Linked DNA regions of Caenorhabditis elegans. Each later gene encodes a partner of the first gene's protein in a complex. Each region holds a gene or a part of one and is shown in the gene's direction. Other genes may lie near its edges.

Evidence for each region. The genes of interacting proteins can lie anywhere in the genome.
Region 2: eif-3.E (region 1) and eif-3.B share a complex: the UniProt entries of both Caenorhabditis elegans proteins name them as parts of the eukaryotic translation initiation factor 3 (eIF-3) complex.

What each region holds. Positions count from the first base shown.
Region 1 is NC_003279.8:10,639,566-10,644,925, reverse strand, and holds eif-3.E (Eukaryotic translation initiation factor 3 subunit E), read left to right. Parts: upstream 1-2,644; 5' UTR 2,645-2,650; coding exon 2,651-2,740; intron 2,741-2,808; coding exon 2,809-3,084; intron 3,085-3,130; coding exon 3,131-3,607; intron 3,608-3,662; coding exon 3,663-4,118; 3' UTR 4,119-4,403; downstream 4,404-5,360. Other genes in the region: tag-344 (Protein kinase domain-containing protein), read right to left, coding at 2-324, 372-476, 522-642; B0511.17 (DUF4283 domain-containing protein), read right to left, coding at 1,221-1,347, 1,782-1,897; cdc-26 (Anaphase-promoting complex subunit CDC26), read left to right, coding at 4,699-4,903, 4,949-5,007, 5,175-5,360. UniProt on the Caenorhabditis elegans protein: Component of the eukaryotic translation initiation factor 3 (eIF-3) complex, which is involved in protein synthesis of a specialized repertoire of mRNAs and, together with other initiation factors, stimulates binding of mRNA and methionyl-tRNAi to the 40S ribosome.
Region 2 is NC_003280.10:14,792,589-14,799,135, forward strand, and holds eif-3.B (Eukaryotic translation initiation factor 3 subunit B), read left to right. Parts: upstream 1-2,815; 5' UTR 2,816-2,840; coding exon 2,841-2,922; intron 2,923-2,991; coding exon 2,992-3,185; intron 3,186-3,230; coding exon 3,231-3,563; intron 3,564-3,616; coding exon 3,617-4,324; intron 4,325-4,394; coding exon 4,395-5,255; 3' UTR 5,256-5,647; downstream 5,648-6,547. Other genes in the region: tbc-20 (Rab-GAP TBC domain-containing protein), read left to right, coding at 5,898-5,999, 6,049-6,154, 6,207-6,388, 6,443-6,547. UniProt on the Caenorhabditis elegans protein: RNA-binding component of the eukaryotic translation initiation factor 3 (eIF-3) complex, which is involved in protein synthesis of a specialized repertoire of mRNAs and, together with other initiation factors, stimulates binding of mRNA and methionyl-tRNAi to the 40S ribosome.

The sequences.
Region 1 (5,360 bases):
CAGTAAGTGCTGCAATAAGTTGACGAAATGTGAACTTTGCATCTTCCTCTTTCATTGCCACGATATCCTTCATTTTACGGAGCAAATCTCCTCCAGCACAGTACTCATTGACGAAGATGATGTGATCTTGAAATGAAATCATCTCGTACAAACGACAAATATTATCGTGTTTCAAGAGCTTGACAATCTCTTTTTCACGTGGCAAAAACTTTTTGATGTAGTCCTCTTTTTCACGAGTTGGCGTAATGTTGATGATTTTCGCTGCAACTTCGAGCTTTTTCTCTCCGAAAGTTGCGCGTGCCACACGGGAATAGGAGCCACTACCTGTAAATTAATGAATTATAAATTGGAATTAATTTCCAAATGATTACCGAGAACTTTCTCAAATTTGAGCTTCCAGACCTTCTCGAGTGTTGGAGCAAAAGCTTTCGTTTTTGGACTCAGTTCATCAGGTTCTTCTTGGTTCTCAGAAACATCTGAAAATTAGTTATTTTCTCTGAAAATCTGCATAAAATTCTTACCTGTATTGTTTTCCGTTGCCATTTCAACAATTTGCCAGAGAAATATGAATTCAAAATACTGCGAAATTGGTCGATTTTGGTTCGATGAATATTGATTAATAGATTTTTCTTCTCGATTCATCAGTTCATCAAGACATTTTCACGTTTCACGAAAGGTCACTTTTTTTTCGATTTTTCCTTGATTTCTCCGTAAATTTTCTTTGTTGAAAATGTTTAATTAACATTTTATCGGGAAATAAAAATGTTCGCTACTAACTATTTGCTTTCTGGCGCCTGTTACACACCTCATAACATGCCTAATTCCTATAATCTGGATTCGATAATATTATAGGTTTCTTTAAAATGAAGTCTTTGAAAAAGCATGGATTAGAATGAAAATATAAATAATATGATAATTTGAGAGTAATTGAATAACATATACATTTATAAAACAGAGGGTAAAATGGAGTAGTGCTAGTGGGGGACATTTTTAAAAATTCGAAAAGACCCAAATATCAAAATATAACATTCCAACTTGAAAAAAAAACTGTTTGCACCCAAAAAGTTAAGATTTGGCAGCTGGAAATCTACCAAAACAGTTTTGAACAAATTTTAGCGGTTATTTGAAAATTGAGATCTAAAAATTGTTTGCCTTTTTTATTTTGATATCTTGGTCAATTTCAGTGTATTCTGACATAACAGCAACTGGCTTAAATTGAATTAATAGTTATCGTTTTTCCATACAACAAAATCAAGGCATTCTTCGATAAAATTGACGGTTGCAATTTGTCCATCGTCGCTCTCAATATCCCATCCAAGTGTACAATCCAATTCGTCTATTTTGTATCTGAATGTTATTATTTTTCAAATAAAATAATTTAGCTTTTTTCCTTTAATCTCTACAGTAGATAGGTAGCAAGAATTTCTTCAATTAGTATGGCACCCCATCGTTCACGGTTGAGAGCTTATATCTCGGTTGTTTTCAAAAATAATTAACTGATGAAATATTTGGTAGTTCTTTTTATATCGTTTTGTAGTTAATAGTTTTATGATATCTTTGAAATGAACCGAGATATAACCTTTCAAAGTAAAGTAGTCTGTTGAACTAATAGAGGAAATACGGTATGTCAAGATCTTTAGAAACAATATGTGTAACCAAGACCCACAAGTCAAACTATATAGTCAGGTTTTGTTTCAACTGGGTGGCACACTACCCTCAAGAATCAGGGCTCTTCATGTAGCCCACTCGCCAGCTCTACGACAAATAATTTATATTCTCACTTGAACACTTTTGGTCTTCGCTTTCCATTCCACGGTCTGTGAATAATTCGATGCATTACTCCTTCATAGTTTTGAGGTCCATATGAATTGAATCGTATTCTTCGTAGATTCGGCATTCCTCCTGACATCAAATACCCGAATTTAATGTTGATCAAACCGAAATGGGGCAACCTGACACCACATGAATTTACGGTCTCGTCTGTTCCCAAAAATTAATAATAAAGCATTCTAAATTTTACTGTTCGCTTTTCTGTGCATTTCAAAATTTGAAATTTCATAAAACTTGTGTCTCTGACACATCGGTAAAATTTGGCACACTATTATTGAGATCGTTGCGGGACCCACTCGAAAAATTAATATGTGATTTTAAACTGACATTTCACAATTACAATATTTAAGCATTGCTTTAAAGCCACACAATGTTTTTCGGGGTGGGTCTCGATACGGGCTCGGGTCTTAATATCTTGTAACTCTTCCTAATCCCAGGAACATTATGATTCGTTCGTAATTTCTCAATTTGAATATTTTAAATTAAAAAACTTTTAACTGAAATTTTAGAACCAAAAAACTCCGAAATATTTTTCAAATGTCGCAAATTGCAGTTTTCGGTTATTCTTCTCGTAGTTCTACTTCTCGCAGTTCTCATTTCGCTGGTGGCTCGTGTTGGCAGGCAGTAGCAACGACACTCCGATATTCCATAGCGCGCGTTGTTTATCATTTCCTCCTTTCCCGGCGAATTTCTCCTAATTTCTCGATTTTCTTTCTGCAATTTCATTGTTTTTGTTTTATTTATGTTTTCCGTTAAGAAAATTGATTGGAGTTTTATTAGAACATATTACTATACTAATACGCTTATTTTACAGGTAAAAATGTCGACATTCGACCTGACTCAGCGCATGGCGCCTTTTCTCGATCTTCATTTGATCATTCCGCTCTTGGAGTTCATCGAACCACGAGGAGTAAGATTTAAACAATAAATTGTTGATTCTGAAATAGCTGAATTTATTTATATCAATGATAATTGCAGATTTACGATGAGAAATCCCTGACCGAAATGCACCGCCAGCTTTTGACCAAGACCAATATGATTGATAGTGTTATAGAGACCTACAATGGAAAACCTATTCCGGCTGCAATTGAGGCTAAGAAGAAGCAAATTATCAAGGAGAGAGATGAGCTGAAAAGCAAGGTGGACTCCGTTGTTGCCATTTTGGAAATACCGGAAGTCAAGGAAATGATGGATAACAACAGAGAAAGAGATGGAAATGTCCGTATTTTGGAGCATCTCACTCAAAACCACAATGTACGTTTTTGCTTTGCAGTTTCGAAAATAATCTTAATTCTTGCAGTTCACAGTAGACATGGTCGATACCCTCTTCAAGTACAGCAAGTTCATGTACGAATGCGGAAATTACACCGTCGCATCCGTGTGCCTTTACTACTACCGCAACCTTGTCAATCAAGCGGATCCAAACTATTTGAACGCTCTTTACGGAAAGTTGGCCAGTGAAATTCTGCTCCAAGAATGGGAACATGCTCGTGACGATTTGCTGAAACTTCGTGCTTACATCGATGCTAATCCATTCGACACGGAATGGGAACTTGTTACGCAACGTGCGTGGCTTATGCACTGGGCACTTTTCGTCTACTACAATTATCCAAAAGGGCGTGATGAGATTATCGAAATGTTCTTGAACCAGCAACCTTATTTGAATGCAATCCAAGTTTTGGCGCCACATTTGCTCCGCTATCTGGCTGTTGCCGTTGTTACCAGCAAAAGCCGCCAGAAGAACAGCTTGAAAGATTTGGTGAAGGTCATTGACATCGTGAGTTTAACTATTTTCTATATGAAAATATGATTAATTATTTGTTTTTCTACAGGAACGCCATAGTTACAAGGATCCCGTCACTGATTTCCTCACCTGTCTCTACATCAAATATGATTTCGACGAGGCTCAAGAGATGCTTCAAAAGTGCGAAGAGGTTCTCTCCAATGATTTCTTCCTGACTGCTGTCCTTGGAGATTTCCGCGAGTCTGCACGCCTTCTCATTTTCGAGATGTTCTGCCGCATTCATCAGTGCATTACCATAGAAATGCTAGCACGACGATTGAATATGAGCCAAGAGGAAGCTGAACGCTGGATTGTTGACTTGATCAGAACGTATCGTATCGAAGGAGCTAAAATTGACAGCAAGTTGGGACAAGTGGTGATGGGTGTCAAATCCGTCAGCATCCACGAGCAAGTCATGGAAAACACGAAGAGATTGACCCTCCGCGCTCAACAAATCGCCCTTCAATTGGAAAAAGGTCGTCAAGACAAAGTCAAGGCGACTTAGGCTTTACAAGTTCTTCCGGTTTTGAATGTTTTTTCCTTTTTCTTCATCTGATGCTGTTCTGAAAATTGAGATGTGGCAAACACGGAGATTAAGACTGTCATCTCTCAGTTTTCAGTATTATTTTTCTTTCTTATTTGTTCAGCTCCTCGGTTTTTTACGAGGACTACTCGAATTCTGTCTTTTCTAAACTTTCCTTATATCCCTGTTGTTTCTTTTTGTTGTCTCTGACCCTTCTTTCGTTAGTGCAGGGGCTGGAGGTTCGGTTCTAATTGGTTAAAATAATATATTTTCTCTTTTATCATGGTTTGATTATTGTTAGAATCTAGGTTTATGAAACCTTTCAATATATATTTATTGCCGTTGCCGAGAAATTGTTTGAAATTATTTTTTGTGAGGAAAAACACTTCCATCTGTATATTTTGTCATTTCTGTTGAATTTGCCTTACTTTTTCGCTAATTACAGAAATATTTAAGCCATAGGTTCGATTTTGCCGTTTAAAAATTAAATCTCCAAAAATACACATTTTCGCCAATTCACAGTTTTTATGAAATTAAATAATTTATCTCACTCTTTTTCAGTATGTCAATGTTACGGCGTCCATTAACACAATTAGAATTGTGTGAGGACGATATCCAATGGCTGACAGATCAACTGAACAAGAGGGTACTTCCAGCTGTGATCGTGCCAAAATGCGAAATGATGGATATTGACGAAATGGAGCCGATGGATCAGAGTGAGCCTCCACGTGGCATAACTAGGAGAAATCTCAGATCGGCGGATAGAAGTGAGATGATGATTTATTTAATTTTTCCTAACCTAGCTTTTTCAGAGAACAGAGACGTTCCAGGACCAAGTACGGGAGAGTGCACGCGTACTTCCATTGCACCGGTAATTTTTTTTTTTAAATTAAATGTTTTAAACATTACCTTTTAGAATCGATGTGAAATGTCATTCACTGAAGTGCAGGTGACATAATTTTGTGTTGTTGGTGTTTCGAACACTTATTTCTATTCACTTTTTCATATTTATCTTATGGCTATTCTCCGTATTTCCAGACTTTAACATCTGCTCGAACTCCTGTCGCTGCTCCAACTCTAACACTTTCGACGCCAGTCAACCCTGTCTCATCAGCTGAAATGTTGAGAGTTATGCCACCTCGTGTAGGTCGACGTCCACGAGCTTCTCGTTCTGGTGACAATGATTCGCCACTCCTCTTCAACGCTTATGATACACCACAGCAA
Region 2 (6,547 bases), on another chromosome or scaffold:
CTTGCCTTTTTCTTATCCCTTCTTATTTCATAATATTTTGAATAAATAAAAGATTGCGAAATTCCTATGATAAATTCTTATACGCGGAATCTCCGCTGAAAAAAAGGCAGGAGACTTGAAATTTCGCAATAATTTACCGTCTCCGATACCGCAGGAGTGCACATTTGTAATTGTTCAATGAATCTGTATATTATTTAGTGTAAACTAAAAATTATTTGATGAACACACATGATAAACTTTTAGATAGCACTTATGTACATATACATGAGAAATCCGGTGCTTAGATATGAACTCCTTTTTTTAAGCATAGGTTTTTAGGTTACCTGTTTTAGCGAGTTTGAATTAATCGTGGCAAAACTCACAGTCGTCAATAAAATGAACATATATAAAGTATTCAAACATACAAAGCAACAAAACTAATTGTAAATAAACAAAATTAAAAATATTTTCGATTTATTAAAAGAACAAAACATTATTGCGCTCACCTTGTTTGAATCATGTACGATGCATTATCCGAAACGGCGAGCCTGTAGCACAATAGTGATAACACAGGGTTCCTCTTAACCAAAGCCGTCGGATCCGAAGATCTACTGGCGTTTGATCGAGTTGCCCGCCTTTTTCCTCACGGACTAGATCTCTACCCCACAATGGGATTAAACAAGACCGACCCTAGACAATCCTAGAGTCAGCTTAATCTGCCAGCAGAATCCACTGACCCTTGGGTGGCCGTCCCGTTTTTCAAGATTTCTAGGGATTTGCGACCTTTCTCACGTCACGTGCGTTACCCAGCACCGGCCAAGTGATGCAAGAAAGGGCTTGGAGGTCCACATCCAGTGAGTGCTTAGCTACAGCTAAACGACCACTGGAACAGGAAGTCCCCGGTGATGATCGTATTGAACTACACAACTTTATTGTAGTAAACTACACTACCGGTTATTATATCCAGACATAGTCTCCCGATGAAATACTCTCACTTGTTCAAGTGTGAAACCCGAACCTTGCTCTTGTACAGTTGATAAAACTAATGTAACTCAAAATATGAAACGGCCCAAGACTATGAAAGATATTTTAAGTTTCCAAGTTCTTTCTTAAATTCCAAAACTTCTTTGATTCAACAACTTTCTACTAAAACGCTCATAGCAAATCATCTGCAAGGACGAATCCATTGAGAATAATGTATACTAATCATCATGTTATAGTAAAAATTGCGTGATTTGTACAGTAAAAGGTCAGCAGCATTGTTGTGAGGACTACCCCCTTGGATTGTTGCTTGCTCTTTGATTGTTGAGCGGGCATCGACTGGAGCTCGGTATCGATTGTGCTAGCCAAATAAAAATCGATTAGAGGTGTGGCATTTGAAGAACATCAAATTTCTATAGATACGAAAGTGTCTATATGTATCAAGTAGCAGACTAAAAAAATTCCAAAAAAAATCGCCTACCCCACCTCTATTTTCGATTTTAAATAACCAGTCATTCGATTGAGCGCGCAATTGAGTGCCGCTAGGTCATCAAACAGGGCCGCTCATCGCAAAAACATAGCTTGACAAAATGCTGCTGTGTTACCGTACTAATCATGGAGAACCAAGAATCATCAATCATGAAAAAGCAAGACGATCCGCAGAAGAATAAAAAAGAACTGCTAAAAATCATTTGTGGTTTTGCCTTTAACTTTTCGTTTTATACAAGCTATCCCTTCCGTCGAAGCTGGCAGATTTTGTACCGGCAATACTCTCACTTTTTCCAATGTAAAGCCCAAACCTTTCTGTTGCACAGTCGACAAAACTCATCTAACTCAGAATATGAAACGACCTAACCCTGTCAGAGATATTTTAAGTTTTCAAGTTCTTTCTTAAAATCCAAAACTTCTTTGATTCAACAACTTTTTACTGAAACACTCATAGTCCATACTCTGCAAGGACGAATCCAAAGAGAATAATGTAAACTAATCATCATGTTACAGTAAAACTAACAAAAACACAACTCCGTATCCAGACATAGTCTTCCGATGCAATACACTCACTTTTTCCAATGTAAAGCCCAAACCTTTCTGTTGCACAGTCGACAAAACTCATCTAACCCAGAATATGAAACGACCTAAGACTATCAGAATTATTTTAAGTTTTCAAGTTCTTTCTTAAAATCCAAAACTTCTTTGATTCAACAACTTTTTACTGAAACACTCATAGCAAATCATCTGCAAGGACGAATCCATTGAGAATAATGTATACTAATCATCATGTTATAGTAAAAATTGCGTGATTTGTACAGTAAACGGTCAGCAGCATTGTTGTGAGGACTACCCCCTTGGATTGTTGCTTGCTCTTTGATTGTTGAGCGGGCATCGACTGGAGCTCGGTATCGATTGTGCTATTTACTTAAACAACTGATCGATAAATATATTTAAAATGTACTCGCTGCCGCGTTCTCCGGAAAAAAGGGCAAATGTCCGCATTTCTTCGTAAAGTCTGGTGTTTGCGTACACCCATTTTTCTTTCATTAAATATTTATAAATGCATTGATTCGCGTTTGAGTTTCAAAATTATCTCTATTTGAAATTCCGCGCAAATCTCATGGACGCGGCCTAGGATTCTCTTCGGTCGAGCGCTTGCAACGACGCTCCGTTCTCCCGCATGGGTGTTGTTTAGAGTTTGTTCATATTCCAAATATCGGTCCTATTTTTCAGATTTTCCAGCGTTTTCCAACATTTTTCCACAATTTTCGGAGAAAATTCTGTAAAAATTCAACTTATCTCGTTTTTCCTTCCATTTTCCTTTAAAATATCTCACAATTTACTCAATAAACCGTGTCTAAAGTTTCAGACTAGTTGGGTTACACAGAATGGTCGAAATTGACTTTAATAAAGAGAACGAAGAAGATTTTTCGGATCCGCCAGGATTTGTTGACGACGTCACCGATGATGGTTGGTTTTTTATTCAATTTTTTGAAATCAATTCCAAAAAATAGCCAACAATCAATGTTTTTATTTCAGTTCTCGTTCCTGACGTTCTCCACAAGAAACCAACTATCGATGAATTTGAAGACAATTGCGTCTTCATCGCGGGAATCCCAGTTGTTGGAGCTGACCGTCTTGGAAAACTCCAAAGTGTACTGAAGAAGGTTCTGGAGAGGTTGGATCCTGCAGTGAAGCTCTACATTCCGCCAAGTCCAGAAGGAGGTTGCTTGGTGAGATTCACGCAAACGATATCGATTTTAATATATTTTTTCCAGGGAGTTCTGCTCACCGAGTGGGCCGATCAACGATCCGCTCAGTTCGCCGTGAAAAGTTTGAATGGATATGCTTTCGATAAGAATCACACATTCACCGCCCGTTCTTTCAAGGATATGAAGCAACTCGAAGCTCCTTCCGATCACTGGACAACTCCAGAGAAGCAGGCTTATAATGACGTTGGAGATCTCTGGTGGTGGCTTCAAAACGAGCGTTGCCGTGATCAGTTCGCAATTTCCCACGATAAACTTGGAGTTCCAACTGTCGGAGTGTTCACCAATATGAAGGGAAATGATCCAGAGCTTGCAGGAGATGCCGATAAGGCTGAAAGAGCTGTAAGTTTTGAGAATTATTTGTTTTTAAAAAATGAAATAATTTTTTTTTCCAGAACTGGACCGAAACCGTCTTCACTTGGTCACCACACGGCTCCTACCTTTCCACGATCCATAAGCAAGGAATCATACTTTGGGGAGGCAAAGACTACGCTCGTGCCCACCGTTTCGCTCATACCAACGTTCAATACATTGATTTCTCGCCGTGTGAGACCTACCTTGTTACCTACGCCGCTCCGGAAGAGTCGAACAGCTGGGGAGACTGTGAGAAGGATAGTTTGAGAATTTGGGACGTCCGAACCGGAGAATTGAAGAAGGCCTTTTCCACTTTCGAGCTCACCGGAAGAACTCAGCTCCCAACCTGGCCATTCTTCAGATGGTCATTCGATGAGAAGTACTTCGCGTGCCTCAAGGCTCCAGAAAAGGATAAGCTTGAGCGTGAGCAGAAGATCAACGGAATTTCGATCTTCGAATCCGAGAAGTTCGAGCTCTATGAAGGCCGTCCCGTGAATATCGAGAATATCAAGCAATTCGAGTGGTCGCCAACATCCACAGTCCTCGCCTACTATTCAGAGTGCACTGACGCCGTTCCAGCCGAGTTTGGACTCTTGCAAGTTCCATCAATGCAGAGACTTCGTTCGGCTCGCGTTCACAATGTCGCCGACGCTCAGATGTTCTGGCAGAAGAGCGGAAAGCGATTGGCCTTCTACACGATGAGATTCAAGAAGAAGGAGTACAGAGAGACCGGAGAAGTCAAATATGTGGTAAGTTTTGAGTTTTTTAAAGGATTTTTTGAGGCCTATGACAATAATAATAATAATGATATAATTTCAGGGAGGATGCCAATACCACGTGGACATCTTCGAGATTGACAAGAAGGACGTTTCCCTTATGAATCTCCCACTTTCGGAGCCATTCATCCATTTCGATTGGGATCCAGAAGGCGATAAGTTCTGTGTGCTCGTGGGAAACACCGCTAAGGCCACTCCACAAGTCTACAAGATCGAGGCTAACAGCCACGCACCGAAGCTTGTGAGCAAGTTGGACGCTGGAGTTCACTTCAATGAGGTTCAATTCGCGCCGAAAGGAGGATGGCTTGCAGTTCTCGCCAAGGTGTCAGCTGGAGGAAACGTCTATTTCATTGATACTTCTTTGTCGGAGGCCAAGAGAACTAATGTTATAGAACATCCACTCTTCAATAAGGGATATTGGGATCCAACTGGAAGATACTTTGTGACATGCTCAACGTTGGGAGGAAGAGCCGGAGCCGATTTGGGTTACCGAATCTTCACATTCCAGGGAAGAGAACTGTGCAGAAAGAATCTCGACCGGCTCGCCCAATTCAAGTGGAGACCACGGCCGCCGGTGAAGTTGAGCGAACAGAAGCAGCGTGAGATCAAGAAGAACTTGAAGAAGACCGCCGCCAAGTTCATCAAGCAGGATGACGACGAAAAGTGCAGAGCCAGTCAGGAGGTTGTTGAGAAGCGACGCAAGATCATGGCTGCCTTCGATATTATTCGAAGCCGGAATCGCGAGCAACTCGACGCCACCCGTGACGAGAGAATCTCTCTTCGAAACGGCGTGGACACAGAAGCCCAACTCGACGAGGACGAATTTGTGGATGAGGAGATTACCATTGCGCTGAGCACAAGCAAAACACAAGCCCCTCTGACGGAGGAGGAGATGAGAGACTAATTAGTTATTTGATTTCCCGGTTTTTCCCCTTTTTTATGCGCTGCTTTTTCTTCCTGATTTCTCGAAGACTTGGAGCGGCGTCCCCTCTTTTTGGTGGTTCCACCATGTACTCGTTTTCGTTTTCCTCTTCATTTTCCCAGTCATGTCGTCATTTTCTGAACAACGCCTTTTTCTATGGCAAATTTAACTTTATGATGCCTGAATGGAGAAGGTTTTTTCAAGCTTCTTTTGGGCGGCCCTAATATTATTTAATTGTTTCTCTCTATCCACTTTAATATCTCTTGTTGCTCCCGTCTCTCCGTGTTTTCTGGTGGTTTTTGCCGATAAAATGTTGATGAATTAGTTGATGTTTCAGATTTTTTCCAAATAAACAGAAGTGAAAATTCATAAATTATATTTTTCAGCGCTATAAAATTGTGATTCTGAAAAAAAAATTCCACGTTTATTAAAAATTCCACAAATGGTGCAATGTGACGTGACGGTGTATGCACACTTTGCATTAAATTTGACGACAAATGTCTCATCGGGTTTTCTGTCAATTTTTAATCCACTTTCTCTATTTTACTCTGTTCTTTTTATACTTTTTTAAAATAAAATTTCTATAAAAAACTTTAAACTTCAATTTTAGCAATTAACCCGTTCATGCACTCATCGTTTTCGGAGCCAAATTCGCCGTTGAAAGAGGTGCTCGTAGATAAGTGGCAGACAGCCTCATGCAGCGATTTGGGCGAAGAATATGTAAAAGTAGGGGTTTTTAATGAGAAAATTTAACGAAAAAAAATCAATTTTTCAGCCGGGACCCCTGGCGAGAGCAAAATTCAACGCGTTGCGAAATAAACGCGAAGCAATTGATCGATTTTTGAAAAAGCACCGAAAAGAGGATCTCAGCTTATATATTGGTAATTTTTATTATAGAATTTGAATTTAAATTTATCAAAAAACGATTTTCAGACGAACTCCGCGATTTTGCGATTTCACCCGGCGGGCTTGTGGACGATGAGTTCCGCGCCGTCATTTGGCCAGTTTTATCCGCGAATTTAGTGCAAAACGATGATTTAGACGATGTTTCTTCGTCCTACGACTCGGATTTCGAATCTGCGCAGTCGGATTTCGACGAGGAGCCTGCTTATGAGGTTTTTACACTGAATATAAATTTTTTAAATATGAAATATAAGCTTGTGTTCCAGGAAAGCGAGGAGCTGACACTAGAAGATTTAAAAGGCCACAAAGAATGGAATCAAGTAGAATTGGACGTTCATCGGACGCTTTCCAGGTTCCCACCGAACATATCA